4 linked regions of the Danio rerio genome follow. The protein of the gene in region 1 purifies or fractionates together with the protein of each later gene. This does not show direct contact. Links are inferred from orthologs where the notes say so. Each region holds a gene or a part of one and is shown on either strand. Other genes may lie near its edges.

Region 1 (7,807 bases):
CTTATTTACTGTAGTCTGTTAATCTTATTAAATTATATACAATATTATATTTCACTCCCCTATCAATCAATTTAAAGTAACTTTGCAAATAGATTTGTTTAAGTCTTCTGGTGAAATTGTATTTATATTGCAATATATACTACAGAGAAAAAAATATTGCAATGTTAAATTTTTCCAATATCGTGCAGCCGGTTTTAGGTACTAATATGTACCCTGAAGGTTCTTGGATGAAGCATTTAAGTACAAAAATGTAATATTTGAAAAGGTATCATCTAGGGCTACACAATATATCATTTGAGCATCGAAATCACAATATGTCAGATTTTTCCAATATCGTGAAGCCCTGGTACCATCAGTGACAGCTTTATAACTTTATTTTTGAGGGTGTATTACAGTTCAGACTCCGAGATAATCTGCTGGCTGTAATGTTGATGTAAAGCTAACAACCACTATATTATGAAAGAATATGTGTATACTACAGACATTTGCTTTCATGTTTTGTTCTACAACATTAGTTAAAAACACTTCAAGCTAATTTAAAAACAAGTGTTTATTAAAAGCATAAGCAGCTAATATCACAAGAAAACTGGAAGATCATGTTCATAAACCGAATTCTTGCATAAATACCTATTATTAAGTCTCTAGGCTTTCTTCTAATAAAACTAAGAAATAAAAAGGTGATGTTTTATAAAAAACATGGAGGCGGTTCATTTCACTGTGGCAACCCCTAATAAAGTGGAATAAGTAGAAGGAATGTGAGTGAGTAAGATGGAAAGGTACTTATCTATACTTCTAATAACAGATAAACATAAACTGCAAGTAGGAAATACTAATAAACAATGAGTGTGCATTATTCTCCAGTAATTCAAGCCATTAAAGTCAGTTAATCCACTAATAATACTAAAACAAATTGCAAGAAATTTGTTCAGATTGTTCAGAGGTTGCGTTTCAAGACAGCTGTTAGGTTTTATCTTAAAATGCACATTTGCAGGACTAATTGCGTATGCATCTCGTCCCAATTCCTGCACTGGCAATTTCAAAAATGCCATTTTAGAGCTGGAATATGAGGCTTGAGCCACTGATAGCAGACTAATGCAGTTATTAGAGAAAGAGCGAGAAAGATTCATGTAAATTGCCATATACTGTATGTGCCTTTTAAAGGAGTCTGGAGTGTCTGCTTCAAAAGCAGCACTTTACAGTATTTCACATCGATTCAACAGAGCAGCAGTAAAAAACTATTTTTATGAGTCTGTGTCCCTACTGTATACGTGCGTTTGTGTGGAGAGCAATAGAAAGAGTTTTTCATTGATAATTAAATGTAATTTTGTGACAAAACCAGAAATAATCTGTCATTATTATACTAATAAAAATTTTGAGATGTAAACAAAAACAACAGTCCCAACGTATTTCCCGTATTACATTTTTAATTTCTATAGCTTCAGAAAATTCAAAAAGAGCCGCATATTGATAAATAATGTTATGAGAGCTGTTTTAACATTAAGTTTTAATTTAATTGCCTCTTGTTACAGTTATGAAGTAGTTTGATAACAAGCAGGAAATGTTCATGGGCCAATGACATCACCACGTTGAAATAGTCTATTGATTAATATATATACTAGTATATATATGCTTGGTTTGCTGTTGCAGGCTGTAATGACCTTTGAAAAAAACTTAAATCCTTTGATGAAGTGATTTATAAAGAATAATGTGTGAAAAAGAATGATGACAGTCCACTGAGTTATTAGACAATTATGCACAACCAGGGTTGAGATGCTGTTACACCTCAAGCATGAATTACTTTCCTAATAATTAAACAGGCCAGAGTCAATTATTAAGCTTCTACAGTTACCACACCTACAGAATTACTTCAACACATTTGACAGTTTTTTGTCCTAAAACTGCTCATGAAGGACTAGTTTAAATGAGTATCATCCAAGCCTCTGTTGGTAATCCAAAAATGTCATTTTAGATCTAGTAAGGGACATTTAAGTAACTGCTAGCAGGCTAATGCAGTTACTAATATTAATACAGTTATTAATATAGTTATGGTAGGGAGAAATTTGGTGTGAATTATGTTATAATAATTCGGGTGGGGGGGGGGGGGGGGTTGGGGGGGGGGGGGGGTGGGGATATAAATATATCATTGTAAATATACTGATTATTTTTGCTGTTATTACTGTGTTATCCTAAAATTTTAATTGTTAAATGTACAGTTTGTTCTGATCAATTACTATTTTTATTGTTATAAATATAAATTATATGATGTATTGAATAATAATGTGATATACTGAACAATAATATGATATATTGAATAATATGATATATTACATTGTTTTAATTTGATTATTATATATATATATATATATATATATATATATATATATATATATATATATATATATATATATATATATATATATATATATATATATATATATATATATACTTTTTTTAGTACTACTACTACTGTTTAGTGTTTTTATTAGACATGCATGTTCTTTTATTTTTATGTAAACTTTATAACTGCTTTGGCAATACATTTGTAACATTTGTCATGCCAATAAAGCAATTGTTGAATTGAATTGAGAGGTAAGGAAAAAGAGAGTAGCTAGTTAAAAAAAAATTACATTTTGTTGCAAAAACGACAACAATCAACTTTTAAAACGACTGTTCAGCATATTAACTTTGTTAGTGTATATAGTTTTTTTGCCCGTTGTAATCAAACTAGGGCTGGGAGATATGGCAAAAATGCAGTCTCAATAATTTATTCATTTTCTTTACGGCTTAGTCCCTTTATTAATCTGGGGTCGATACAGCGGAATGAACCGCCAACTTATCCAGCATATGTTTTACACAGCAGATACACTTCCAGCAACAACCTAACAATAGGAAACAGCCATGCACTCTTACATTCACACTCATACACTCCAGACAATTTAGCTTACACAATTCACCTGTACCGCATATCTTAGGAATGTGGGGGAAACCCACATGAATACAGGGAGAACATACAAATTCCACACAGAAATGCCAACTGACCCAGCCGGGGCTCTAACCAGCGACCTTCTTTCTGTAAGGCGATTGTGCTACCCACAGCACAACTGTGATGCTCACAATCTTGATAATTATTTTCCATATTGATCGATAACAATATATATTTCAATATCAGTAGTTAATGAATCTAATCTAATCTAATGCTTCCAGATTTAAAACAGTACCCCAACAATGACTGAGGCTACAAAGATTAGTGTCAAATAAATGCCATAACATATTTTTGGCTGATAAATTTTCGGTAGGTGAAAATTTGGTACATCTCTAATATCAACACACTTTAAGATTCCTATTGTTGCACATTTCTGCTGTGTGATTGTCTCTTAGATCAATATAAAGTAAAGAAAGTCCAGAGCATATCATTGTTATTATTGACATAAATTTTATTGCAATTCCATATAATATTGTTTATCAAAAACAAAATTAAACTGTTATTAAACTGTAACAAATCTTTAGAATTACCTAAAATGTTTAGTGCAGTGATATGAAACTGTAATGAAATCAGGATTTATTGTAAATATTTTAAACCGTTTCTTCAAAAATAACAGCACACCTAGGTCCGGACATCCATTAACAAATCTGAATGTAGCATTCAAGAACACCATACAATCAAAAATATTACTTTTGCAAGCTTGTTCAAGCTAGCTTATTTAAAATGAGTTGAAACAACAGAATTCTTATGTTTTTGGAACAACCTAATTGTTTTACGTTCAAGCCACTTAAATTTCTAAAAACGATTACGCTAACTTAATCAATTTTTTTGTTCATGAAGGAATTATGTGAAACCCAGCATTTTTACAGTATAGCATGTGGAACTGCAATGCACTCAATACCTGCTTGGAACTACTTCAGTTATATGTTGTTGTTTTTAATAACTACACACCTTAGAACACTTATCAACCAATCAGAATCAGGCATTCAACAACCCTCTGCTACAGTAATACATGCAATTCAGCGTTGTCCGCTTCTTAAGAGGCCTGAAACAACGTTCCCAGTTCCACTTGTTCTCATTAAACATTCTCGATTTGATTTGGTCAGTTCTATATATCTAAACTATTCATTTGAATAAATACCTCAGTGACTCATCATAACACTAAAAGACAGTCACGGGATGTAACCTGCAGAAGGGGTCACAGGACCAATCGATTACCGAATTCAAGAGAATCGATTCACCGGACTGTACCAAACCGTGTTTACATGACCTTCCGAGCGAACATACAGGCTAATATTTCCCCAAATACGCTGTGCATAACTAGACAGCTGTGAACAGAGCAGATTCGTCTTGTTAACCCCATGACAGTCCAGTAATAGCAAGGCAGGAGAGCATCCAAACATCAACAGCTCTGCCACTGACAAACCATGACAGATCACCGCAAACCCGCAGCACACGCACATCACGAATCATCCACACACCTAAACACCCCGCATGACCTCTGAATGAGCTCTGTCAGAGCCTCGTGCCTCAGTAATGAACCACTGCAGACGATCTGACAGACTCCCACCCTTTTCTCCATTTCTCCCTCTCTCCCTCCCTCTCTCTGGTGGGACATGCTTGTTTACCTTCTTGTCGATGCGGACAGTGAAGACATCGCGGTCCCTCAGCGGCTCCCGACTGAGGACCAGGCCGTGATTGAATTCCTGTACCGGCTGATTCCGTTGAGCGGTTCGGTTGGAGTTCGACAAACCGATCAGTTTTCCGCTGCGCGGATGCAGCTCAGCCGCCATCTTCGCACGGGCGGCGCGGTGCACGACACCGAGCGTAGTTTTGCGACAGTGGGGAGACGGTTGTAGGTAGTTCGCGATTGGCTATGGGTATATTGCTAGTGGTATGTATCATAGACATAACCAGACTTAATATATCAGCCTCAACTTGATAAATGTGTACATGCTCAGAGGTATCAGTAAAGACAATTCTTATATGCAGTTGTAAATGAAATGCTGCTAACGGGCAAGGGTCGAAACTGGATGAATGTGCTGTAGGTAATATGTAAATATATGCACACATGCTCATTATGTATTGAACAACACTCACACGAGATCTCAGCTTCAATTACAAAATATCTGAACTTAAAGGCCTTAATTCGATCTTCATGAAATTATAGAACATTTAAAAGGACTTAAATAAGATAAGAAAGTGTTACATTTATATGCACTGCCACAACAACTAAATGTGAAAATGACTTTCTGTTTAAATAGATTGTGTCCATTAGCAAATATTTGTTTGTTATCATTTTGGTAAAATTAAGTCATTAAGATCTATAAGTACTTGTATTTGTATAGTGTAAAATTATTCGTACTTAATGTTTTAAATTCACCTTCATAAAATGTGCAGAAATAATTGTAGAGTGTACATTTATATAAAAATGTCTGATATTTATTTTTAAAAAGCTGCCAGTGTTTTAAAATTGTGAACTGTACTACCTTTGTGTGAAATATTCTCTAGATGGCAGTATTTTACAGCTAAACTGACCTAAACTGATGAATGCATCCACAGTATGTTGTCAATTAACAGGGGAATTATATTTGTTTCAGGTTTACTAAATTCTTTCCTCTTCAATAAATATTAATTCTAATTAATATTTCTCTATATTAATTCTAATTAATACGTCTCTAATAAACTGCTTTACTTAATGAAAAAATTTCTGACTTATAACTAGGGCCAGACAGAATCTGTGGACATTTTCAAAAAAAAATTTGACATATGGGGTATGTGAAAGTTTCACATACACAAAGTAACAAAGTAAAAGTAGTAATGTCAATTATTCCCTTCTTGCTCTGTTAAGATTTAAAAATATTTTATAATTTTTTGACCTCAGTTACAAGAAACAAGAAGGCTATAAAACATCTCTAATAATGAAAAAAAATCTATACAATCTAATCATTTAAATATTATGGTTTCCCCTATATAGTTGAAGTCAAAATTATTAGCCCCCCTTTGATTTATATATATATATATATATATATATATATATATATATATATATTTCATAAATTATGTTTAACAGAGCATGGAAATTTTCACAGTATGTCTAATAATATTTTAATAATATAATTTTTTTTTTCTAATTTGTTTTATTTCAGCTAGAACAGAAGCAGCTTTTATTTAAAAAAAAATTAAGGTCAAAATTATTAGCCCCTTTAAGCAGTTTCTTTTCTGAGTCTACAGTTTAATACAGTCTATTACCCTAACCTGCCTAGTTAACCTAATTAACCTAGTTAAGTCTTTAAATGTCACTTTAAGCTGTATTGAAAAGATTTTTTTCAACACATTTCTAAACATAATAGTTTTAATAACTCATCTCTTATAACTGATTTATTTTATCTTTGCCATGATGACATGAAAATGAAATTCTTTGTAGTCAATAAAGGTATATATTTAAAAGCAAGAAATATGAATAAATGTATATTTTGATTAGCTATTGCATGTATTATATATGGCATGTTGTATCTGAACAAAAAGACAATCTAAGTTATTGCAATTAATTTAAATATAATTAAAAGATACTTTGTGTGCTTTTGAAAATGCTGCAGAAATGTCAGATGTGCGAGTAGGATACATTTAATACAAAAGCACAATTGCTATCAAATTATGTAAGTTAACTGTGAAAGTGATGACCCATTCCATTGCAAAACAAAGGAGTAGCATCGAAAATAATATTTATGCACGTAACCTGCACATTTGATTGCAGCTGATTTATTTTGTTCTCTAAAATATGGTCATTAAAAAAAACATTTGCTTTTATATGTGTTTGCAAACACATTTCAGAAGAATTTTCATTACAGTGTTTAATGTTCTGTCGTTTTTAAACATATTTTAATGCTCAGTGTAACATAATTGACATTTAATACTTTTTATATTGTTTATTAATACATTTTGGAGGTTATAATGACTGACTAAAAATTTAGCAGTTTTAAATAGCCCTTCCTGATTTGATCAAGAGTTGAGCCTGTCGGGATGATTGTGTTAAATCTCTACAAAGTGAGTTCATTCATTGCTTCTGTAGGACAGCTGTGGGACGACACCGCTGTGTGTTTGTACGCTGCCCGATCAAGATCAATGACCTGACCCTGGACAACGATTTTCTCCAGACACCCACGCAGGTATGGATTACTTTTTGCCACCTCGCTGTCACCTAAAAAAAAGAGAGAGTTCATGGACTCAATTGAAAAAGGTAGGATTTGTTAAATAGACTCCCTGCACTAAGCTGACAAATAAAGAATTTAACAATGACCAATGCGGATGTTGCTGATGGAGTAGTTTATCACGGAAATTCGTGCTCACTTTACCTGGCACTCCCCCAAATGTCAGGAGCATCCCATTTTTCCACATGGAGAGAAAGTCCAGAGTTTCCGATTTAACCTTTGGTTTGCTGTTTACCACAAGTGAATTTTTCAGTATAGTGAAAGTAAGTGTTGCAGGTTCACTGGGAAATTCGGTTGATCCATCTTTCAGGCCCAACTGTGAAAAAGGGTGTACAAAAATGTTGTGTGTTTAAAGCTATAACTGAGCAATTCCATGCAAATGTCAATCTTGCAATAAAATAAACTAAACTTCACCAAAATACAGAAAGTTTTTTGTGGAAGCAAATATTTTATAGTACTTTAGAAATACTCAAAAATGTCAAACTATTATATTGGATTTACTGAAGTCACACAAGTGGCAATTTCACATCCATAACGACACTTTTTCCTCATAAATGCAAAAGTCTTAAGTAAAATAAAACCAATATTTTTTGTTCTATAAACCAACGTTTAT
Region 2 (7,759 bases), on another chromosome or scaffold:
CATAAAATGTTTTTCAACATTTCTCAAAGTTTTTAAACAATTATAAATTTACAAAAATCACAAAGAAAGCTCTTTGCACTTTTAGCATGATGCAAACACACACACAAAAAACAAGGACAAAGAAAGCATCCTTTGCAGCTCAAGCGATGTATTTCAACACACAACACAGTCACATACTCAGCTGCTTTAGAACCAACATAAACACAACCCCAAACAATCTGCTTGAGTATGTTACTATATATATATTAGTGCCTTTCATATTTCCTTACATGTGTGTGTGTGTGTGTGTGTGTTGTTACAGCCCTGTCTGTAGTTCAGTCTTATGAGAGCTGCAGTTCTTTCAGGCTCCTCAGGGACTCGGCACAGCCTCGGATCAGATTGCAGAGCTGAATGCTGGCCTCCACTGATGCGGCGTGCTGGAGCTCCTGCGTGGCCCATCTGAGCTTGTGAAGCACAGCCTCTTCTGCACTGGACAGGGCTGGGTGGTGATGGAGTGAGCTGCCCGAAGACCCTACAGGAGGTGTCGTCTGGACAGGCGGGTTGGATGGCGGCAAGAAGTTGGAGGCAGGGGTGGGGATGGAAAGAGGGGTTGGCTGTACAGTTGGAGGGGGGCCTCTGAGTCCAGACGCAGCCCCCTCACAGTGCTCCGGCCTGGGCTGGCCAGTGATGGAGAGAGGGGGTTCACTGGAGGAGGCTCCGTTAGATTCGGGAACAGGCTGAGTGGCAAGCTGGCGCTCTCGTACCTGTGACAAGGCTGCTTGAGCATTTAAAGCTGAAAGAGAAGTTGGATAATTTAATGGTGATGAGCAAGAATTTATGTTTAAGGAAGAGGATTTGAATGTACCTGGGTTGTCCTTGTCAACATCGGAGTCCAGCTCTTGACAAGCAACACAGTAATTTTTCTTCTGCTTATCTTGCAGCAGAATCGTCTGCAAATAGATGGAAGTTTTGTTTTGCTTTAAACACTGTAATAAGTAATAACAATTAAAGTCTGTGAGAAAAAATGTACAATGATTATTTTGTTATTCTTTAGGTGAACAATGAATCCATGCTAATGATTTTTGCTTTGGTAGTCTGCATCTGCTTTTGGAGTGGCGGTCCGGCTCTGTTGATGTCAGTTTGACAGCTTCAGTCACAATATTTTTAGCCACGCCCCCCCTTACTGTTAGTTTCCTATGAAAAAATGTTGTGCAAAAAGAGAGCCCCGCCTCTACTCAATATTCCGTAAATATTCAATATTTAATACTATTTTTGTTGTTTGTGTACCATTAGATATTGCCTTACTGCATAGTTTTAACTAAAAGTAACAGTATTTTTTACTGATTAAACATGAAAATCATTGTAATTTTTCATTTAAATGTCTTTTTTTCTAAAATTGATTGATTTATAGATGTTGGATACTCAAAAAAAAATTGTTGTCAGACGAGACCTTGTAAAAATACAAAAGCAAAACAGCTGAATTACAGAAAGGCACTGCAGATAAATGCAAAAATACTAGATGTGGGCCATTAAGACTTCAGTCTTAAAACAAGGTAAACATTATAATGTTAAGGCATAAACGATATTATATCGTATGGCGATAACATTTTTGTCAATAACAATGACTTTTTTTACTTTTACTTTTTTACTCTATATAATCTAAGAGCCAATCAGGTACCAATTGATACTGAAAACGCACACTTCCCGTTAACAGTTGAGCGTGTTTTTAAGCAGTGCTGATTAGCCATTGTGTTGATATTAGGGATGCACCAAATTTACGTCCAGGTTATGCTATTTAATGTACCCTCTTATTTTTGGGGCTTTAGTCATTGTTGGGATACTCTTAAATCCAGAAGCAATAACAACTGAAATCAAAATATATATATATACACATGTATATCATTATTGTTTAATGTGGAAAATAATTAATTGATATTGTATTTTTACCATATCGCCCAGCAATATTGAGGCAGGTTTGTAAAATGTTGATTCATCATTCAAAAGAGGCGAACATGCATTTATTCAGTGCCTTTAAAAAGAAACAAAGTGGAAATGTGACGGGATTATTAAAAACAGGTTATTTTCGTTCAGTTATTTTCATTTTTTTGTTCAGTTATTTTCGGACATCCATGAAACACATTGTATTTTATAGCTTCATGATGAATAAACAGAGTACAGTGTTTATTTGCAACTGTAAACTTTATAAAAGTCTCAAAGCTCTCAATTTTGATCAAGTTAAAATGCATCCCAACTGCTGGCTCGGGAAAGCTGAATCAAATGAATCAATTTTGCAGACTGCATTAAACCATCTTTAAGAAATCAAAGTTTTATCCTAGATTCTGTCCTCTTATTTGACACACAGGTAGATGCAGTAGTTAAATCTTGGTTTTTTTCAGCTGAGATTATCAGCCAAAGTGAAAGGCTTTTTAAAAGGCTTCTTACTGGTACACGCAGGTTTGAACACATTACTCCTATCCCGTGTTTCCTAAATTGTGACCTAGAATTGAGTTTAAAATTTTAATGTCTGTTTTTAAGGTATTAAAAGGCCAGGCTCTGACTTATCTCTCTAATCTTATTAGTTCAAATATCTGCCATATGTTTAAGGTCATCGAACCAGAAAATGCTAGTAGTTCCCAGATCCAAATTGAATAAAAAAAGAAGATTGAGCTTTCTCTGTAGTAAGTCCTAAAGTGTGGAACAGGCTACCTTCGTCCATTAGAAAAGTTTCTATTGAATCTTTGTTCAGAGGGAAACTTAAACTACACCTCCTTGAAATAGCTTTTAAATTGGGAGAAAATTAATCCTATTGTACCTATCTGGTCGCTTGTTATGTATCTATGATGCTGTGTGGTATGTTGGATGTATTCTATGTTGTTTTACTTGTTGCTGTCTATTTTTGATCATTTGCTTTTAGGTTTGTACAGCACAATGGTCAACAACTTAAAAATTTTTTTTTTATTACGCTTTGTAAATAAATAAACTAAACTAATTAAAAACATTATTAAACTTTCAGACATTCTGAACTGAAAATATTGCACGTCATCTTTTGTCATTATCGCAAGTTTTAATATTCAAACATGGCTACAACTTAACAACACAGTACCTCACTGCATATTTAATAATTAAATTAAGGCTCTAGCTTGTATTGCACTAAATAAAACACAGATTTGATTGGAGTCTCCTATGAGTGTATGGTGTTTTCTCTCACCCCGCACAGCTCACAGCACTCGCCCAGCATCTTGTACCCCTTCAGCAGATAGTCTCCCATCAGCTTGCTGATCTTATCCTGCCGCTCCCGGCGAGCCTGAATCACCTTCATCTCTGCTTCAGAGGGAGGCTCCCATTCAAAGTCTTCATCATCTGGATTCAGGAAAACACACACAGAATGCTCTTGTTTATGGACGAATGCTCATTTAATTCACACACCCACTTAAGCACTTTCCAGGTGTTTTAAAACTTTTTCAGTACTTTATAAAGTGTGGAAAATTACATATTTACATACGTCTGCACACCTCATCACATTAATTATATTTAGAAAAAAATCCTTTCTATAAAGATTGGTGGGAGAGAGGTATTTGGTTGAGTGTCCATCTATTAAACAAAGAGGGTGAGGTTCTGAGTTACTGGAAATTTTTGTGAAAAATATAACTTTGAATGTGATCATAAGCAATTCAATAGGGTATTGAAATCTATTCTGAAGGCATTTGTAATAATGGTTAGTACTGTGGCCCCCAATAAAAATGACGTACCTTATTTGCTGATGAATGGAGAAGATTTTATTCAGAGTGTATTCAGATAATAAGCTCTATTATCGAATTAGGGAATATGTTCCTTTCCTTCCCCATACCTCCTCAAAGCTAAAGAAGTACACTTTAAAATATTCAATGATATTTAACCATCTGCAGAGACTGTATATTTATTTTTGACTGTTTATACAGCAGAACCTTCTAGACAAATTCATTTGAGTGGTTAAAAGTTTCTCTCAAGATGTCCTCCCAATTTTCTAAAAATGATATTATCTTTGGTTTATTAGGGGAAGATATTAATATTCAAGTTGTATTGAACAATATTCTAATTTTGGAGAAATTTTATGTTCATAAATGCAAGTGCCTGAAAACAAAACCACTGTTTTGGGTTTTCCAAAAGGAATTTTGGTTATACTGTAAAGCTTTAAAGTTGGTAAAATCAAAATTAGGAAGTTCAGTTTATTGAAAACATTTTAATTAATAGACGACCAGGTAGTTCTTTTTTGAATGTGTTTGTGTGTCTATTCTGTTTAAAGTTGTATTTATTTATATTATAATCTTATTGATTTGATTATTATTTGTGCTCTGTTCTGTAGTTGTTAATTAAATTTGTGCTATATGCAAAAAAAAAAAAAAAACACTTCATCACATTATATCAGAAGCTATTCTAGAGTATAGTACAGTAAATTATAGTATAATTAATATACTATGTGAAAAATTTCGTTTTTAATTTTATTTTTTTAGCTTTAATAAAAGGAAAATATGTGATAGCAGGTTTGATCCAACCCCAACATTTAGTTATGCTGTCATCCATTTACATATCTTTATTATAATTAATTTATTCATACTATTATTACCAGCTTAGTAAGATAAATTATTATGAAAGGAACAATCGCATTTTAAAGTACTTTATCCATAATCTAAGTACATTTTAAACCTTGAAACACAAGAGTAAAATTCCAGCATTTAAAGTATTTTCAGCACCCGTGCGATTCCTGTACGTGGAACTTTACGAGTCAATAATAGGCAAAGACACAGAGAAAGCTCGATATTTTAAATGAAATAAAAGCCACATGCCAGTACAGAAATGCAGACAGTGAGGGGCTAACCTGCTAACGTAACATGATGTTATTTTAGCGCAGCTGCACGTGTACTAACGTTACTATAGCACGACTGGAGGTTAGTGATTAAGGGTTATTTCGGTACTAAATTGGGGAGTTTAACAAGAGATTTGTCTAAATGTGAGTTTATTGACATTTTACCTGCGTTAAGGGCCATGCTTTCTTCATCAGCCGCCTCACAACACAGATAACGTTTCCTGCTCGAAACTTCAGCGGTGAAATGTGGAAGGTGCTATGAAAACTGACTGGCGCCATCTAGCGAGCTGAATGTAGGTCCTATTGCTCAGTTTTTTCCCCTTCATTCTGAAAATCTCAGGATTATTTGTTTCGTTCGGAAAAAAAAATCTGGATTTAGACACATAAAAAAATACATAGTTTATGCTGGAAAATAAAGAATGTTCTTCACTATCTCTTGGTTTCCAGTCAACTAAATATTCTAACTACCTGCTTGATTTGTTTAACTGATAATATGCAGTTACGCCTCTCTCTAGCCCTAGACATCTGGGGTCTTAACAATGCAGAAAATAACATTTTATAATGAAAGTGGATTTTGAAAAAAATTCAAAAGGCTCCTAAACAATAAAATCACTCCTTCTGCACAACTCTATAATTTATTTTTAAACATTACCATCACTGCATCAGGTTAATATTAGCCTAATTAATACATAGTTAATGTGAATAAAGAAAATCACTTTGATTTCATAGTTTACTTTGACCAATAGGTGATGCTGTTACCAAACTAGTGTAGTGTGGCGTTGTCAGTCTTGCAAAGATACAGCCTCAGGTGTTGGTGTTGCCAGCATGGTTTGGAAATGTGTAGTTCACACAGTCTTATGGTGAGAAAAAGTAAAGTTTGGGATTTTCATCAGGGCTCAAACTGTGCAAATCATCACTGGTTATGGTTAACACACAACAGTTGTGGACAAATAGCATTAGCTTTGTCAGCTATATTACCGTATGTGAAAAACGGTATGTGTGCTATAGTATTACACCCAAACCAGTTGACAGATGAGAATACTAAGAAGTTCGCACATGATGGACACTTCACTACCTTATGAGCCCACAGAAGAGGGTTTATTAATGGAAAAATACAAAATGACTGAAAACATATGACGAATGATAACTTTTCTTAATTCGTTGCAAAAATCTAATTGTCCTCACTATTTAGTATTTACTTATCCTCAAGTGGTTATAAACCTTTCTGAGTTTCTTGACAACAAAATAAGTAATTTTGAAGAAAACTAAAAACCCGTAGCCATTGACTTCCACAGCAAGCAAATTCCATAGTGTCTTACTACACAAATCATTGCAATTTCTCATATTAAACAGGTTTAAACAAGTGAAGGGAGAGTAAATGATGACAGACTTCTCATTTTTAGGTGAACTATGCTTTGAAGCCAAGAAATTAGAGGAGACAATAATTACATTTTTATTAGTTCTTACAGTTTCAAAGGTATTAGCACAAACGTTCATGCAAATTTGAACAGCACTAGAGGGATTAAGGTTGGAGACTTCAAAACTGATAATGTTCCTTCATTCACTTTCCTTCGGCTTAATCCCTGTATTTATCAGGGGTCGCCACAGCGGAATGAACTGTCAACTATTCCAGTGTGTTTTACGCAGCAGATGCCCTTCCAGCCACAACCCAGTACTCAGAAATTGGATAATATTAAAACTTCATTCCTACAGATTTTATAAAAAAAAAATATTTAAAAATATTTTATAAGTCACCAGCACTCATGTAGGTTTCAACAAAGTATTCAAATATGGTAAAACCATTAAAAACATACTAGGAACAGTTCCTAAATAAACCATTCATATCTTAGAAGGACAGGTTAAAATCCAAAGAACATTGAAAAGTCTTTGTTTTCTTCAAGGATTTAATGAAGCCAAAAAAATCCTGCATTTTTAAGGCTCAGCTAGAGAGTCACTACGGCTGGTTTGGCTTTTGTTCGTAAAGTCCCAGCAGTGTCCACCATAGATTCCTCTCCAACAATACTGTCCTCTCGCCAGTTTCCACGCCACAGTGCGCTGAGCCAGCGGAAAGTGCTCTCATCCCAGTTTTCTGGAAGCTGCAGCATCAGATATCCAGCTGAGATGATGCCGGCGGCCGCTGCTCGCACATGGCTGATCTGCAGAGTTAACGTCACTAAGCCATCCACAGCTTATGAGAAAGAGAAGAAAGCGCTATATTCAATTATCAGACAATAAATGATGTTCTCTTTGTGTTTAGCAAGATAATTAAAATGTTTACTTGTCAATTTATTTCCATGAAAAATACCTGCACTTGCTGGGATTGTCAAGAGAATTCCCAGGGAAATTAAACTGGGGTACGTAAACATTTCTCCCAGATTTACCAGCAGATTGAAAACTTAAATAAAAACATAAAGACAAAGTTTGTTAAAGAGAACAACTAAAAATCTGATCACTACAAATGATGACAAATAACATTAATAAAGCATAGAGTTATATAGAGGTAAATGATTTTATTGTATACTATTGTTTAACACTCAGTGCCAATCAAAAACTGCACATAAATGTATAGTTAAAGTCAAAATTATTCACCCTCCAGTGAATTTTTTCTTCTTCAAACATTTCCCAAATTATATTTAACAGAGCAAGAACTTTTACAGTTTTTACAATATTTCCTTGAACATTTTTTTTCTACTGGAGAAAGACTTTTGTTATTTCGGCTATAATAAAAACAGTTTTTAATTTCTTAAAAAACATTTAAGGTTAATACAGGCTTTCTGCAGGTTTCAACAAGTCAAATTTAAGACTTTTTAAGACCCTTTTAAGACCGTTTTGAATGAAATTTTTAGACTTATACAGGGCTAAACACTAAAGTTTTTTTTTGTAATGGTCTGGTTGTTGTTGCTTATTTGAATTTGTCAAAACAAGAAAACTCTAGTT
Region 3 (8,036 bases), on another chromosome or scaffold:
CGAACACACACACACACACACACACACACACACGCACACACACACACACTGCAGGAACACGGAGAGCGCCATCTAGCGGCATTCGGAGTATCAACATCAGCTCAGTGTTTATAACATATACTGTGTATTTCTGCACACTGAATAATCCACATGAGGGAACAATAATGTGTTAGACCAGTGGTTCTCAAATTGTTTTCATTAAGTTCCACCTCAGAAAAAAATAGTCTCTCCAAGTACCACCAAAATGAGCAGTATTGAAATACAGTAGTGTAGTAGGCCCAGTAAAGCAGCTACAACTCTGCACAGTTAAAAAAATGTGGCAAAATACCTCAGAAATATAGGCTGTATGTCATGTATGGCATACTATATACATCATTTTTGATAAATTTGGAAATATATGTAGCATGTACATGCCATATTGCATCCCTCCACGTACCACTAGAAGGAAGCCCGCGTACCACTAGTGGTATACGTACCACAGTTTGAGAACCACTGTGTTAGACCAATCTTCCTGATGGAAATAAACACACACACACACACACACACACACACACACACACACACACACACACACACACACACACACACACACACAGCGGTGAAGGAAATTAAAACTTTATTTACAAAAATGATTTGTAAAACATCTGACATACAAAACACTCAACTGAAGACTGCTGCAGCACATGCCGAGCGCGCTCACACACACACACACACACACACACACACACACACACACTGAAGCCTGCTAAACTCTCTGCGGGGTTGAACTGCAGCAGATGACCAACACATTGACATTACTCCACGGCGGCGTCTTCATCTACAGCTGCAGGCTGTGAAGGAGAGATGTGCACCAGTAAGTGCACTCAGACAGCATCAGCACTTCTTAGGGAGCCTCCGTCAGCAGCACTGAAGAGAACTGGCAGAAAACTGATGTTTAATCATACACGACTGCTGACGAGGGCAGAGACCTTCAACATCCCATAATGCCTCGGTGCGGTCAGGTCAGAGGTCAGAGGTCGTGTGCGGCGCGCTCCTCCTCGTCCTGCTGCTGGACGGAGCTCAGGTACTGCTCCAGCAGACTGCAGTTCTGCGCGTCTCCAGAGGCGGCGCTGCTGTTCACACACGGAGAACCGCACTCCGGCACCGAGAGATCAGCGTGTGTGTGTGTGTCAGTGCTACTGTCTGCAGGAGTGTGTGCTGCGCTGTCGGCAGGAGTGTGTGTCTTGTTGAGCGCAGGAGTGTGTGTTGTGTTAAGCCGCTGGTCCACAGACGCCTGCCACTGCAACAACACCTGCAGCTGGAGAAGCAGATGTTCAGCGTGTGTGTGTGTTTATGTGAGTGTGTGTGTGTGTGTGTGTGTTTATGTGTGTGTGTGTGTGTGTGTGTGAGTGTGTGTGTGTGTGTGTGTGTGTCTGTGTGTGTTTATGTGTGTGTGTGTGTGTGTGTGAGTGTGTGTGTGTGTGTGTGTGTCTGTGTGTGTTTATGTGTGTGTGAGTGTGTGTGTGTGTGTGTCTGTGTGTGTTTATGTGTGTGTTTTTCACTGACCTGTTTCCACAGAACCTTCACTGCTTCTTCTTGAACACGTCTCTGCAGTCGCTCTTCTTCTTGCTGCCGGCGGACCCTGAAACAAAGCAGTCACACACACACACACTCTTCAGTTCACGCTGTGCTTGATCTCAACTAGAGTCATCTTCAATTCTCGGAGCAGAGATGAGCCGACCTCTGACCTCTAGCGCTCTTCATTCCACTTTACCTCACAAGTACACACACACACACACACACACACACACACACACACACACACACACACACACACACACACAAACAGTTCACCTGTCCAGCTGTGTGCTCAGGTGTATGATGTGGTCCTGCATCCTCCGCATGCGTATCTCTGCACGCACCGCTCTGGCCTGCGGGTGGCGCTGGCGAGTCCACTGGCCCCTCCACCAGCTCTGGATCCTCACGGCGGCGTCCTGCGGCTCACACTGCTGATGCTCTGAGGACACGCCCCCACACACTGGCTCCTCCCCTGGGGCACGGTGCTGAGTGGATGTGGGAGGAGCCAGAGAGTCCTCAAACTCCTCCTCTCCGCTGTCAGGAGCTGAAGCCGGAGGAGCGGCAGATTCAGACGCCAGCGGCCCCGGGGCCTCCAGATCCTGCAGGAGCAGCCCGTCTGCAGCCACAGCGGGGGGAGGAGCGGAGGGGGGAGGAGCGGCCAAGGGTGGAGACACAGAGTCCATCCACGCGTTCACCCGAACTGCAGGCTCCACATCTGCACCACACACACACACACACACACACACACACACACACACACACACACACACACACACACACACACACAAACATCAGCAGAACACACACACACACACACACACACACACAAACATCAGCAGAACACACACACACACACACACACACACACACACACACACAAACATCAGCAGAACACACACACACACACACACACGCACTCATCTGTACTGTGCTTTACCACTGGGAATAGGAAACACACCAGCACAGAAACCCGCATCTTACACACAGCAGCCTGAGCGATTACATCATCACCTTCATCCTCCTCATCTTCATCAGGTGTGCTCTGGTGGAGCTGCTGCACGTCCAGGTGTGTGGGGCGAGAGGGAGTCTGGTGATGTGTATGCTGCAGCTGATTCTGATGATGCCTGCACACACACACACACACACACACACACACACACACACACACACACAGTGAGCGGTGCTGCTATGAGCGGTGCCGGTGCTGCTGGTCTGGACTCTACCGTTGTTTGTTGAGGATCTTCTCCAGTTTGGCGTCCTCTGCTGGGGGCTGCCGGGCGGCGGCGGGACACGTGCGGGACAGATACTGCAGCAGCTGAGTGTGCTCGCCCGGACGAAACACTCGCCCTCTGCCCTGACTGTACAGCCACTCCGCCTTCAGCCTGCACACACACACACACACACACACACACACGCACACACACATGCGCGCACACACACGCACGCGCGCACACACACGCGCGCGCACACACACGCACGCACACACATACACACACGCAAGCACGCACACACGCGCGCACACACATGCACGCACACACACACACACACACAAACACACACACACACACGCGCACACGCACACACATGCACGCACACACACACACACACACGCGCACACGCACACACACACGCACACACATGCACACACATGCACGCACACGCACAGATCAGAAACTGCAGCACGTCATCACAGCATGAACACTGAATAATGAGCACTCTTCCTCCTCCTCCTCGAGCTCCACTCACCCTTCCTTCTGTGTGACGGCGACTCCATCTAGCAGCTCCAGGCCGAGGCACCAGCTGAGCACATATGGCCGATAATCACACACAGCGGAGGACACACACGACACACACGGGTTACTGAGGAGGGAGAGCTGCTGCAGACCCCGCACCGGAGCCAGATAGCAGACCTGCACACACACACACACACACACACACACACATCAGGACAGATCTGCATCCTCAGCTGTGCAGCGAGGTCAGGTCAGACATCTGCCTACACTCACATGCAGAACCGCACAGGAGGAGGCAGTGTGAGCCTGAATGTGTGTGTGTGTTTGTGTGTGTGTGTGTGTGTGTACCTCAGTCAGGTCCCGGATCTCGTTCTCCGCCAGCGACAGCACTCTCAGGTGTGCCGGCAGGTGAGCAGGAGCCGAGCGCAGTGTGGTGATGATGTTTCCGTGCAGGAGCAGCGTCTGCAGTGTGTGTGAGCAGGATATTACTGTACACTCATCATCATCCTCATCATCATCATCATTCAGAGCGGCGGCGGACTCACCTGCAGCGCCGAGAGCCTGGACACGTCTCCGATCTGCGAGATATTATTATCAGACAGGTCGAGGTGCTGCAGGGAGACGCAGTGGTGTAGCTGCTCCATCACCTGCACAAACAGCAGAGCAGGAGTGTGTGTGTGTGTGTGACCGTATGCTCAGGTGAACTCCGCTGCAGACACACACTCACCTTGATGTTGTTCCCGGCCAGGTTGAGGCGCTCCAGCTGCTGCAGCTCCTTCAGGCCCTCGATGCAGCCGATGCTGTTATTCTGCAGGTCCAGGACCCGCAGCTGCGTGAGTCTGCAGACGTTCATCATGCGCACCAGACGGTTACAGGCCACCGACAGCTGAACACACACACACACACGTACATCACTGCGAGCACAGCTGAACACACACACTGTTTTCAAAATCACATCACCCCCTGTACCCTTACTCACTACAGTAGTGCACTTAGAGGAGTGAGTGAAGTGAGTGTGTGGTGGAGCACTACTGAGTGCACTAAGAGTGTGTCGTGTTTGCTGAATCCTCACATTCTATCTTCATCTTCTCCATCAGACGCTGCTATAGTTCATCAAACACACACACACACACACACACACACACACACACACACACACCTGCTGCAGGTCGGGGTTGTGCTCCAGGTGCTCCAGCTTCATCAGCTGGTTCTGATCCAGGATCAGGGTGTGTGTGTGTGAATCCGGGCGGAACAGCTGAGGCTCCAGCCGCTGCAGACCCCGAGCCGACAGGTCTAAAACCCCCGGACCTGAAAGAGAACAGCGCAGAATAAACACGGCTGTGGAGTATTGATCACTACAGCGATCAGGAAGATCATCGATCACACATCAGTAACACACACACACACACACCAAGCCAATAAACGCTTTCCCGCAGGTGTGTGGAGAGCAGCGGATCAGTGATCAGTGAATGACGGAGTTTACACACACAAACACACAAACACACACACACGGCGGAACCCCACACGCCCCGTTAAACTCGGTAATCCGCACACATCGCCGGTCTGCAGAAAAACACTGCGGTTTAAAGTCTCCGCTTAGTCAAACTCGTGGATTATTGCAATATTATTGGCTGATATTGCCGTACCTCTGTGATTCGGCATCTGCAGCACCGGATCCGCCATCCCCGCTCCGGTCGCCGCCATACTTCCCGCTTGTGTCACCGCCAGGCAACCGAGCGCAGATTTCATTGGATGATTTAATCTGAAAATATTTATATTTTTGGATATTTTTACAGAATAGTAGGGTTCATTCCTATGTCAAATATATGTTTACTTCAAAAAAATATTTTACTTTAACGAAACGGGCTCCTTTATAAACCGCTTACCCACAATTCCTCTTCCTCTTCCCCGTCTGAACCGCCGCCATGAAGTGAGTGTATTCTGTGTTCATCCCCAAACATCTGCAATATAACCTCACAGATGCGCCGATTAAAGTGTTTATGAGTTATTAATGTTCGCGGCGTGTCTGTAATGACGCTCATTTGTGCTCTGCAGGGTCGAGCTGTGCAGTTTTAGCGGATACAAAATCTATCCCGGTCACGGCCGGCGATACGCCAGGATTGACGGAAAGGTAAAGCCGAGTTACTCCGACACCAGCAGCTCACTAATATCATCCTCATTATTATTATTAATATTGTCATTATTATTATGTGAATATTCGTATTCATCAGGGTAGTTCGATACTGTTGGCTAACTACAGTTAGCGATGGGTTAGTAATGGCGAGCCCCGCTGCTAATGCTAACACAGACACTGGGTTACTCTGGCTAATTTAGCGTCATTATGAGTTCAGCATGATGGGTTACTTTACTGTTCTAGAGTTATATTAGGGTTCGGGTTTGCTGAAGACTGTTGCCGATCAGCTGTGTGTGTACACACACACACACACACACACACACAAATGTATGTCTACATATCTGTGTGTGTGTAAGAGAATTAGTGGTACGCGTTGTTATTAATATAAGAGCATCTCCTCCTCTTCCTCCTCCTGCTGCTGATGGTGAAGTGCTGAATCCCGCATGCTCTGGCTGATGTGTTCAGGAACTCCTCCAGTGTTTTGGCTGAGCGCTGTAGATTGTGTGTTAGGGCTGATCGATTATGGGAAAAATCATAATCATGATTATTTTGGTCATAATTATAATCACGACTATTCAAAACGATTTTCAGTTCAAAATTATTCGCACTTCTGTTAATTTATTATATATAAATATTTACCAAATTATGTTTAACGGAGGAATTTTGACAGGATTTTCTATAATATTTCTCCTGGAAAGGCTTATTTGTTTTATTTTGGCTAGGATAAAATCAGGTTTGAATATTTTTAAACCTTTTTTAAAAGCTCAATATTATTATCCCCCTTAGGCAATATATATATATATATTTGATTGTCCTCCTGTTATACAATGAGTTGCCTGTTTACCCGAGTGAAGCCTTTGAATGTCACTTTAAGCTGAATACTAGTGTCCTGAAAAATGTCAAGTAAAATAATTATGTGTCTGTCAAAGAGAAAAGAAACGCTGTCACTTTAAGATCAGTGCGGCTCTGATATGGTTTCTCTCACATGTTTTGATTATTACACAAATGAGGGTTAATATGAATAATCACTAAACACTGCGCTCTGACACAAATGTGCATGTGTTTGACCATTAAAGCGCTCTCGTTAAGATGACGTTAGATGTGCGTGTGTGCTCTCCTGTCCGAGGCTACACAAACACACCCACACACACACACACACACTACCTGTCCGAGGCTAAGCGCTGTGCACACACACAACAGCACATGCTCTTTCGCGATTTTAATAGCTGAGCTGTACGTGTCTGCAGAGGGCCGTTTAGCATGGAGCGCTTCAGCACAGGTCACTGGGGTCCATGTGTGATTATTGATTATTGATTATGTTGCTGTGTTCTGATGGAGATGCTCTTCTACTGCAGGTTTTCCAGTTCCTCAATGCCAAATGTGAGTCTGCGTTTCTGTCCAAGAGGAACCCGAGGCAGATCAACTGGACCGTTCTGTACCGCCGCAAGCACAAGAAGGGCCAGTCTGTGAGTTCATTAACATTATTCACCGGGCACATGTGCACGGGGGGTGTATAGTCTCAGACAGAGTGCATTATGGGTAGTGTAGTCCAGGAGTGGAGAAGAGTGTGTTTCCTCCTGTGTACATTTACATTACATCATAGATTTATGGAGATATACTGCAGCTGAGGAGAACATGAAGCCAGCATAGCAGATATCAGCATGATCAACCGCTGCTGTTCTCGTCTCCACTGAATCATGCAGAGAGTGTTTTACTGCGAGTGAAGGGCGACGTGTACTCCTGTGAGGAGGCTGAGGGCTGCAGACGTCATGTGCTGGAGATATGGAGCAGACCCCACTGCTCTAATGAAGTACACTGACCTGTGTGTGTGTGTGTGTGTTGTGCTCTTCAGGAGGAGGTGTCGAAGAAGCGCACACGTCGTGCAGTAAAGTTCCAGCGGGCGATCACCGGCGCTTCTCTGGCCGAGATTCTGGCCAAGAGGAACCAGAAGCCTGAAGTGCGTAAAGCCCAGCGCGAGCAGGCCATCAGGTGAGACACACACACACACACACACACACACACACACTCTCTCTTCATTCAGTGGTCATGCTTGATGCTAGTTGTAGTGGTGCTCCTGTCACCATGGAAATCTCCAAACTAAGGCTGTGCAATTAATCGAAAATCTGATTTTGATTTTGGCTTGTAACGATTATGAAAAGCCGTGAATCGAGATAAACGATTATTCCATCACGTACCGCACCCTTTCCAGTTGTACAAGTGTGAAAACTCTTTGCCTCTGCAAAGCTCAGTTCCATGTGAAAATGACTGAAAGATGTGCTGTACTGTAACTTGTGCAGCACGGGATGCGCATCATTCACATTTTTAAAAGCGCAAAAGGGTACGTGCTATTGTGTGTGCGCTGTGCTTAACCTCAGATAGCTAGCGTGTGTGTGTTTGCGTACGTGCCGCGCTTAGCCTCGGACAGCAGAGCACACACATCTAATGCGATCTTAATGCGAGCGCTTTAATGGTGAAACACATGCACACTTGTGTCAGAGCGCGGTGTTTAGTGATTATTCATATTAACCCTCATCTGTGTAATAAACTAACAAGTTGAGAATCAAAAGACACGAGAAAGAGAAACCGTATCAGAGCCGCACTATTCTTAAAGT
Region 4 (7,324 bases), on another chromosome or scaffold:
TGTGCATTGGAACCCTTACTGTACAGTCATATACATTGAATTTGGTCATTTTACTAGGACATCAGCATCTCACCTGTTCCTTCAGCTGGATGACGGTGTGCTGTGTGGCCTGCAGCTTCTCATTTGCCTCTTTTAGCTGCACCTTTAGTTCTGATATGCTAATGTTCTTCTTAGCGATGTCACTTTCAAGACCTTTCATCTTGTTTTCGAATAACCTGTTGAGGAAAAACGAATCATTAACTTACATGATGATAAAATTGATGAAGCATTCAAGTAAATGTTCTACCTGGTCACAACTGAAGATTTCCAGGTCTTGCTGTCCACCCCCAGTAAAGTCGCCCCCTTCGACTGTGCTAATAACAGCCTCTGATGAGTCTCCTCAAGCTCCGCCTTTAGCTTCTCATTGGCTACTTCAAGGCTGGCTTTTGCAACCCTCAGCTTTTCTGCAGCTTCTGCTTCCTGCAATTTGCCACAAAACATGTATCTTTATTTCTGTTATTATATGTATATTATATATGTTTTCATAGATATGTTATCATAAGCTGTTACTAATTAAAACAACTTGTGCCCTTTACCCCCTTCTTTCTTTTTTTTTTTTATAAAAAAGATTTCAATCCTAAGATGTCAATACAATTGTGTTGTATTGTATTTTCACACTTTTATTACATCTCAATGAAGACATTGCCAAAAAAGTATCTTTTAGGGATGTATGCCAAAAAAGTATCTTTTAGGGATGTATACACAAAAATTATGTAAATTTTTTCAACAAAAATTTGAAAATGTTTTTTTTTTTGTACTTTGGTTGTTTTGTGGGCCTTGAAAACAGGTTATATTTTAAAGTGCAAGTTCGTGACAACTTAACCATTATTGTCTCAATGAAAATGACAAAAATGTGTATTATATGTCTATTCTATTCTCTACTATTCTCTACTCTACTTCATGACCTTATATGCACCATCTACTAGCTTGCATCCATATTACAGCATTATTTTCTTGATCAGTACAAACATAATCATTTTTAAAATATTGTTCTGGCTGTGCATTCATATTACAGCTTTTTTATTGCAGACCAGTTTGAATAAATGCTGTTGTTTTGAATGAAATGTTAAAAAAAACCATAAGGAAAAGTTTGCCATTTTTTTGTAACACTGTTTTTGTGTAAACACAACCTTAGATATTGAGATCATATCTAAAAAATTTACTTATTTGAGGAAAAAATAAAAAACCTTTTTAATTTCTTTTCGTAAGCGTTCATTTTCCATCATGATTTTCTCAATGCCCTTAGTTTTTGACTCGAGTCTTGAGTTCAGCTGTTCCTCTTGTTTTCCTTTTAGCTTTTCATATTCTGACTGTAGCAAAAAAAGAGAAAAGAGCTGCATATTAGTACAGAAGATAAATAAAATTGACAAAATTGAGAGATGAGGCCCATGGCGGTAACAAAAACATAACAACTGAACAGCTTCACTGATATGCAACATAATTTAACAATTTAACAGTTCACAATTTAAGGTGCTTGGCTGTAAATGTTGCTGGCTGATTTCTCTGTGTTACATGACTTTTTGGGAGGCTAACTAGCTTCCCACATATAGATAGGTGTTTTTTTTCTGACTTGTTCCAGTCCTTGACATTTTAGAAAACAGCCTATAGTAAAAACTAACTTCTTTCTGAATAGATTGACATGGCATATTAATCAAAACAAACGGTCATAAGAATAACAAACATGGAGAAATATTATGCAGTTCTGAATGTGTATTACACAGGTGATTGGGTTTGACAAACCACTTGTAGGAGACACTCTTCCTCTCCATATGCACCAGACATTTTCTTATAACAAGGTCTTAAAAGGACTGGATTTTGATTTTAAAGCATTTATATATTGCTTTTTTAGCTTATTTGAAGTTCTCCTTTTATCCTTATTTGTTGGTCACTTTGCATAAAAGTGTCTGGTAAATGTGCAGTGGGGAAAAAAGTATTTAGTCAGCCACCAATTGTCCACATTCTACCTCTTAAAAGGTAAGAGGCCTGTAATTTTCATCATGCATATACCTCAACTATGGGAGACAAAATGAGAAAAAAATAATCCAGAAAATCTAAGATTTTGCAAAATGTAAGATTTTTTAAGAGCTTATTAGATCTGGAGATCTGAAGACAAGCTGGGCCACTCCCGGACCTTCTTACAAAGCCACTCCTTCATTGTCCGGTTGATGTTTAGAATCGCTGTTATGCTGAAAGACCCAGCCATGTTTCATCGTCAATATCCTTGCTCATGGAAGAGGTTCTAACTAAAAATCTCACGGTGTGTGGACCCATTTATTCTTTCTTTCACTCGGATCAGTCATCCTGGTCTCTTTGCAGAAAAACAACACCAAGGCATGTTTCCACCCACATGCTTCACAGTAGGTATGGTGTTCTTTGGATACAACTCAGCATTCTTTCTCCTCCAAACAAGTTGAGTTTTTACCAAAAAGTTATTTTGGTTTCATCTGACCATACATACATACATACATAAGCCATTCTCCAAATCCTCTTGTGGTTCATCCAAATGCTCTCTAGCAAAGTTCAGACAGCCTTGTCATGTACTGGCTTAAGCAGGATTTGAGTCCCTGGCGGCGCAGTGTGTTACTGATGGTAGCCTTTGTTACTTTGGTCCCAGCTCTCTGCAGGTCATTCACTAGGTCCTTGTGATCATTTTGACGGCATGAGCTGAGATCTTGCATGGAGCCCCAGATTGAGGGAGATTATCAGTGGTCTTTTATGTCTTTCGATTTCTAATAAGTGCTCCCACAGTTCATTTCTTCACACCAAGCTCCTTACCTTTTGTAGATTCAGTCTGGTGCAGGTCTACAATTTTGTTTATGATGTCTTTCTGGTGAAGTTTGGAGTGTGACAGGTTGTGGACAAGTGTTTTTTATACTGATAATTAATGCAGGTAACGAATGGAGGACAGAGGAGCCTCTTGAAGAAGTTACAGGTCTGTGAGAGGCAGAAATCTTGCTTGTTTGTAGGTGACCAAATACTTATTTAACAGATGAACTTAATAATTCATTCATAAAGAAATCCTACAATGTAATTTTTTTTGATTTTCTTTCTTATTTTGTCTCTCAAAGATGAGGTATACTAATTATTAAAATTACAGGCCCCACTCGTTTTTTTTAAGTGGGAGAACTTGCACAATTGGTGGCTGACTAAATACTTTTTTGCCACACTGTACATACTGTCTTTAATTTTTAATAATATCTGATTTTTAAATGTCACACAATATTAACAGGTTCACAAAATATACCTTAAGTTTCTCATGGTCTCGTTCCAGCGTGGCAAGTTGCTCCTGCACGTTGACCTCAGATGTCTTTTTTAAGTTCTCATTCTCTCTCTGAACTTTCTCCACAACCTTCTTCATCAGTCCAATGGTCTTCTCTAGCTCAGGTATGGTTTTCCCACTGCGGCCGGACTGTATGAGAGGAGCATACATTAATGGGAGTTGAAAATTAAACAGTTTCCAGATCTCAGAAGTTCTGCTACTGTACCGACCCCACGAAGATGACTGAGTCTCTTCTCCACTTCAGCTTTCTCCTTCTTCAAAACACTGCACATCTCTTTGAGGTCAGACACCTGATCCTGCCATTATAATGGGTGGGAAGGTAAAAACAATAGATTATGTAATGTAGATTAACCATTTAGGTTAAACAATGCAGGTTTAATTAAAATACATTTTTACAGTAATTAAAAAAAAGGAGGGGGGTGGGGGATGGGTATAGTCATTCAGAGTAGTGTGGGAATAAAGTGTCACAGAATGAAAATCTCGAAATACCTAGGCATAGCTGAATATTAAGACAACAGTATATGAAAATTATGTATTCAGAGCCCCGAACCCAATTGAGTCCTCATTCTCATGTAGATCTCAAAAGTCTAAAATCATTAATCATTAAAATATTCGTATTACATGGTCCCAAGCTGCATTTGAATGGCCATGTTTCCTAGTGAGATTAAAACAATTATAAATTTCCTTATTTTTTAAGTTTAGTGCATACGTTTAGAGGTGGGGAGACTAAAAAGGAGCAGTTTTGTGAAGTAGTCAGCCATGTAAGACCATGTATAAGTGCTCACAGCTCGTCAGATAGCAAAATGCAGGATATACGGATTATAAATGTATTCAGTGAAACTTCAAAGAGCAATAAGGTCTATTTAAAGTATATTTTGCTAGTTTAATGTGTATATTTATAGTTTTCTGTGTTTGTTTGTAATGAAGCAACAAACATTTTTAAACTGCTGAGTGATTAATGCAAGTTTATGCATTGTGCGATCACTCAGCTCTTAATGTAATTTTCTTGTGTGAATAGATCTGTTCATGCAGAGGTTGAAACTAACTCCTGTTTATGTTTTCAAATACGTTAAAGCTTTAAAATACAAAAAAGCTTCAAAATCTCTTTTGTCATCCAAAATACAACTCAGGAGCAAATTATGCTTTCTGTTGACATAAAGACAGATCACTCCATCCATCCAGCTACACCAAACCTCTCTACCACTTCAGTTGAATAGATTGTTAACAAGGCATTTACTCAATTTGTAAAAATATTTTATTGACTAATGAAGTATGATTATTTTGCACGTGTGTATTTCAGAATACATCATGCTGTGTGTGTATGTGTCAGAGCAGAGCTCATTAATATTAACAACCATTCTATACATGGTCAATATCATGCTTTTTCATTAAGGGGCTAAATTCTGTGGTTAATAAAATGAGCATTTACATTGTTTCTCAAGAATTTCTAAATTTAGTTAAGCAACATACATGTTTTGTAGATAACAGAGAATCAATCTATGCAATGGCACCTTTAAAACTTAAATTTTATTACAGTAATTATGCAATCTAAATTGCAGTGTATCATCTTTTAGCAGCATCTCTATAACATATCTATAAAGTCTTTGTAAACATCTAAATACCCCGTCCATGTTAGTAGAGTCATGCTATTAATAACAGAGATTTCACAGTACTTTTAATCGAGGCAGGTCTTTGTTTGCTTGCTCCAGTTGGAAACGAAGCTCCAGGTTTTCTGTAGACAACCTGAGATTCTCCTTTTGGAACTCATGCTCTCTTTGGGATGGGGTATCAGAACCTCGACCAGATGTCTGTAGAAACAACAAAGAGTTATTGACAACACACAGCTAAACGATACCCAAACCACAAAGATATTTTAGATGCAGACAGGAGAGGGAGCAATGCAAGCACTAAAGGACAACAGCAAAGCAGACACTGCAGGTCTTTAAATACAACAACACAAACTCAAAACCAACACTGTTATGGGGTGGAGAAAGCTGGAAGCTCTGAGGGAACACCTATGCTTCAAGTACCTTTCGAGCTTTGCTTTTCATTGAATGTTCTTTGTCATTAAGCCTGGTGACCTTTGCTTTTAAATGTCCAAGAATGTCATTTTCAGTGTTTGCATTCAATTCTCTACTAGGGGAAACTTCACTTAAATTAGGGTTAAAACCTGCTTCAGGAGTAAACGACTTGTTTTTCTCCATTGCTGGTTGTTCAGAGACAAGTTTGGCATCAAATGTGGTTGAATTGCTGAGAGCTGTTTCTTCTTCGTCAAGCTCTTTAGATTCGGCAGATGGATCACATTCACATTTCAAAAGTTCTTCAGGCTCTTGCCCATAATCTTCATCACCCTCAAGAAGAACCTTTGGTGTCTCTAGCTCTGCTTGATTCATAGTGCTGTATAACATTTCTTCTGCATTTGTCTCTTCATTTTCAACTTCCAGCTGATCTTCATCCAAAGGTTTTTCCATCATCTCTCGATGTGTCAGTTCTGACTCAAGCTGTTCTGCCTCATCATTAGTCTTCAGTTCTTCCTGAGCATATTCAAAAACTGCTACATCTTGCCCTCTTTGAGTGTCATCTGGTTGCTCTTCGTCTTTCTCAACAGATCCTTTTTCTTTATTGTTTTCTTTCTGCTCAGTTTTGTCATCCTTCATCAGAGCTTTTTGTTCCAGATCCACTTCATTCTTTGCTACATTTTCATCATCTTGGTTCACTTCTGCTGTGCCCATATCTATACTTCTGAAGGAAGTTTGAGTTGGTTTGTCCTCTATAACAGATATTTCCTTTTCAGTTACAACAACTGTGCTATTTAATAATGAGGACTGAGTTTGTTCAGCTTCGATTACATCAAAAGTCATAGAACGAACTTTTGAGGACCAACTAAGCTGAGATGGTGATGTTGAATGTCTGTCCTTTATTATCAGAGTTAAAACAGAAGGAATGGAGAAAGAAACAGATATGAAAGGAAGTCTGAAAGTGAAGTTAATGAGATGAAATTCATGATGGCACAATATTTGAAAAGTTGCACCTACAGAGGGTCTGGATGGAGGCTCTTTAGATAGCCGACTCTCCATTGAGTAAAGTCTCTCCTCAAGATAACGGTTTCTGATGGTGATATCCTCCATCGCAGCATCACGGGGTAAAGCCTGCTGCTGCCTATAAAACCATCAATTTTAAACATTACTCAGAATAACGCTGACAAATTTGATGTATTTGAACTTAGACACAAATGGGAAGAATGGAATGATTGCTAGGCAAAACTCACTTCATCACTTTGATTTGCTGCTCCAGTTCAGCATTCCTTTTGTGAAGCTCTTCAATCTCTTTGTCAGCCTCAAGAGTTCGTGCGCCAACAACCTGGTCAGCGGTCACTCCTCTACCCTTTAGTTTCTTCTGCAGACTCACCTTCTCCTGCTCCAACCTTCATAAACATCGGTCAACAATAACATGAGCGGGAAACTTCAACTTCTGTTCTTTCTTGTAATAAATTTTAAAGTTAAGCTGTCATACAATGAATTATTGGGATACACTTGGAAGACTTTTTTTGCTCTAAACCAGGGGTCACCAACCCTGTTCCTGGAAAGCTACCCTCCTGCAGAATTCAGTCCCAACCCTGATCAAACACACCTGAACCAATTAATAGTACCTAAAGCAGCACTTGATAATAACAAACAGATGTGTTTGGTCAGGTTTGCAACTGAAATGTGCAGGAAGGTAGCTCTCCAGGAAAAGGGTTGGTGACCCCTGCTCTAAACGTATCAGAAACCATTTTCCCCGTTTGTAAACAGATGGAGCATGGATGCACCAAACAGAAAAAAAAAAATTAAAATATGGAAAAACATTGCAACATATGGCAAAATCAGGAGTAAATCCTAAACATTAAACTTATGGTCTAGTTTGATATGAATGTCTTTTGAGGGAAAACAATTGTCTTTATAAGTTTAGATTTTTTTTAGTCTTTTATTGTCATCTTACTTCTATATAATGTATATTAAACCAGCG

What was found.
Region 2: the proteins of neurl4 (region 1) and znrd2 purify together in Homo sapiens (co-immunoprecipitation; 4 studies listed by BioGRID and IntAct, with this or other methods). This does not show direct contact. The link is inferred for Danio rerio from reciprocal best matches to the Homo sapiens genes NEURL4 and ZNRD2.
Region 3: the proteins of neurl4 (region 1) and cep97 purify together in Homo sapiens (affinity purification with western blotting; 4 studies listed by BioGRID and IntAct, with this or other methods). This does not show direct contact. The link is inferred for Danio rerio from reciprocal best matches to the Homo sapiens genes NEURL4 and CEP97.
Region 4: the proteins of neurl4 (region 1) and cep290 purify together in Homo sapiens (affinity purification with mass spectrometry; 3 studies listed by BioGRID and IntAct, with this or other methods). This does not show direct contact. The link is inferred for Danio rerio from reciprocal best matches to the Homo sapiens genes NEURL4 and CEP290.

The regions. Positions count from the first base shown.
Region 1 is NC_133187.1:24,243,508-24,251,314, forward strand, and holds the start of neurl4 (neuralized-like protein 4), read right to left. Parts: upstream 4,804-7,807; 5' UTR 4,777-4,803; coding exon 4,612-4,776; intron 1-4,611. UniProt on the Homo sapiens protein: Promotes CCP110 ubiquitination and proteasome-dependent degradation. By counteracting accumulation of CP110, maintains normal centriolar homeostasis and preventing formation of ectopic microtubular organizing centers.
Region 2 is NC_133185.1:31,773,912-31,781,670, reverse strand, and holds znrd2 (protein ZNRD2), read right to left. Parts: upstream 5,073-7,759; 5' UTR 5,004-5,072; coding exon 4,988-5,003; intron 3,340-4,987; coding exon 3,188-3,339; intron 930-3,187; coding exon 845-929; intron 773-844; coding exon 321-772; 3' UTR 132-320; downstream 1-131. Other genes in the region: solute carrier family 35 member F4, read right to left, coding at 6,766-7,010, 7,128-7,217. UniProt on the Homo sapiens protein: Might play a role in mitosis. Antigenic molecule. Could be a centromere-associated protein. May induce anti-centromere antibodies.
Region 3 is NC_133176.1:199,350-207,385, reverse strand, and holds cep97 (centrosomal protein of 97 kDa), read right to left. Parts: upstream 5,005-8,036; 5' UTR 4,995-5,004; coding exon 4,937-4,994; intron 4,599-4,936; coding exon 4,450-4,598; intron 4,177-4,449; coding exon 4,018-4,176; intron 3,938-4,017; coding exon 3,836-3,937; intron 3,753-3,835; coding exon 3,639-3,752; intron 3,468-3,638; coding exon 3,304-3,467; intron 2,940-3,303; coding exon 2,781-2,939; intron 2,682-2,780; coding exon 2,569-2,681; coding exon of another isoform or gene 2,539-2,568; exon of another isoform or gene 2,516-2,538; intron 2,273-2,515; coding exon 1,834-2,272; intron 1,622-1,833; coding exon 1,546-1,621; intron 1,298-1,545; coding exon 1,010-1,297; 3' UTR 600-1,009; downstream 1-599. Other genes in the region: rpl24 (large ribosomal subunit protein eL24), read left to right, coding at 5,216-5,220, 5,346-5,421, 6,780-6,890, 7,277-7,413. UniProt on the Homo sapiens protein: Acts as a key negative regulator of ciliogenesis in collaboration with CCP110 by capping the mother centriole thereby preventing cilia formation. Required for recruitment of CCP110 to the centrosome.
Region 4 is NC_133200.1:18,915,321-18,922,644, forward strand, and holds part of cep290 (centrosomal protein of 290 kDa), read right to left. Parts: intron 6,744-7,324; coding exon 6,588-6,743; intron 6,479-6,587; coding exon 6,355-6,478; intron 6,235-6,354; coding exon 5,350-6,234; intron 5,128-5,349; coding exon 4,993-5,127; intron 3,616-4,992; coding exon 3,529-3,615; intron 3,449-3,528; coding exon 3,284-3,448; intron 1,350-3,283; coding exon 1,227-1,349; intron 460-1,226; coding exon 287-459; intron 216-286; coding exon 74-215; intron 1-73. UniProt on the Homo sapiens protein: Involved in early and late steps in cilia formation. Its association with CCP110 is required for inhibition of primary cilia formation by CCP110.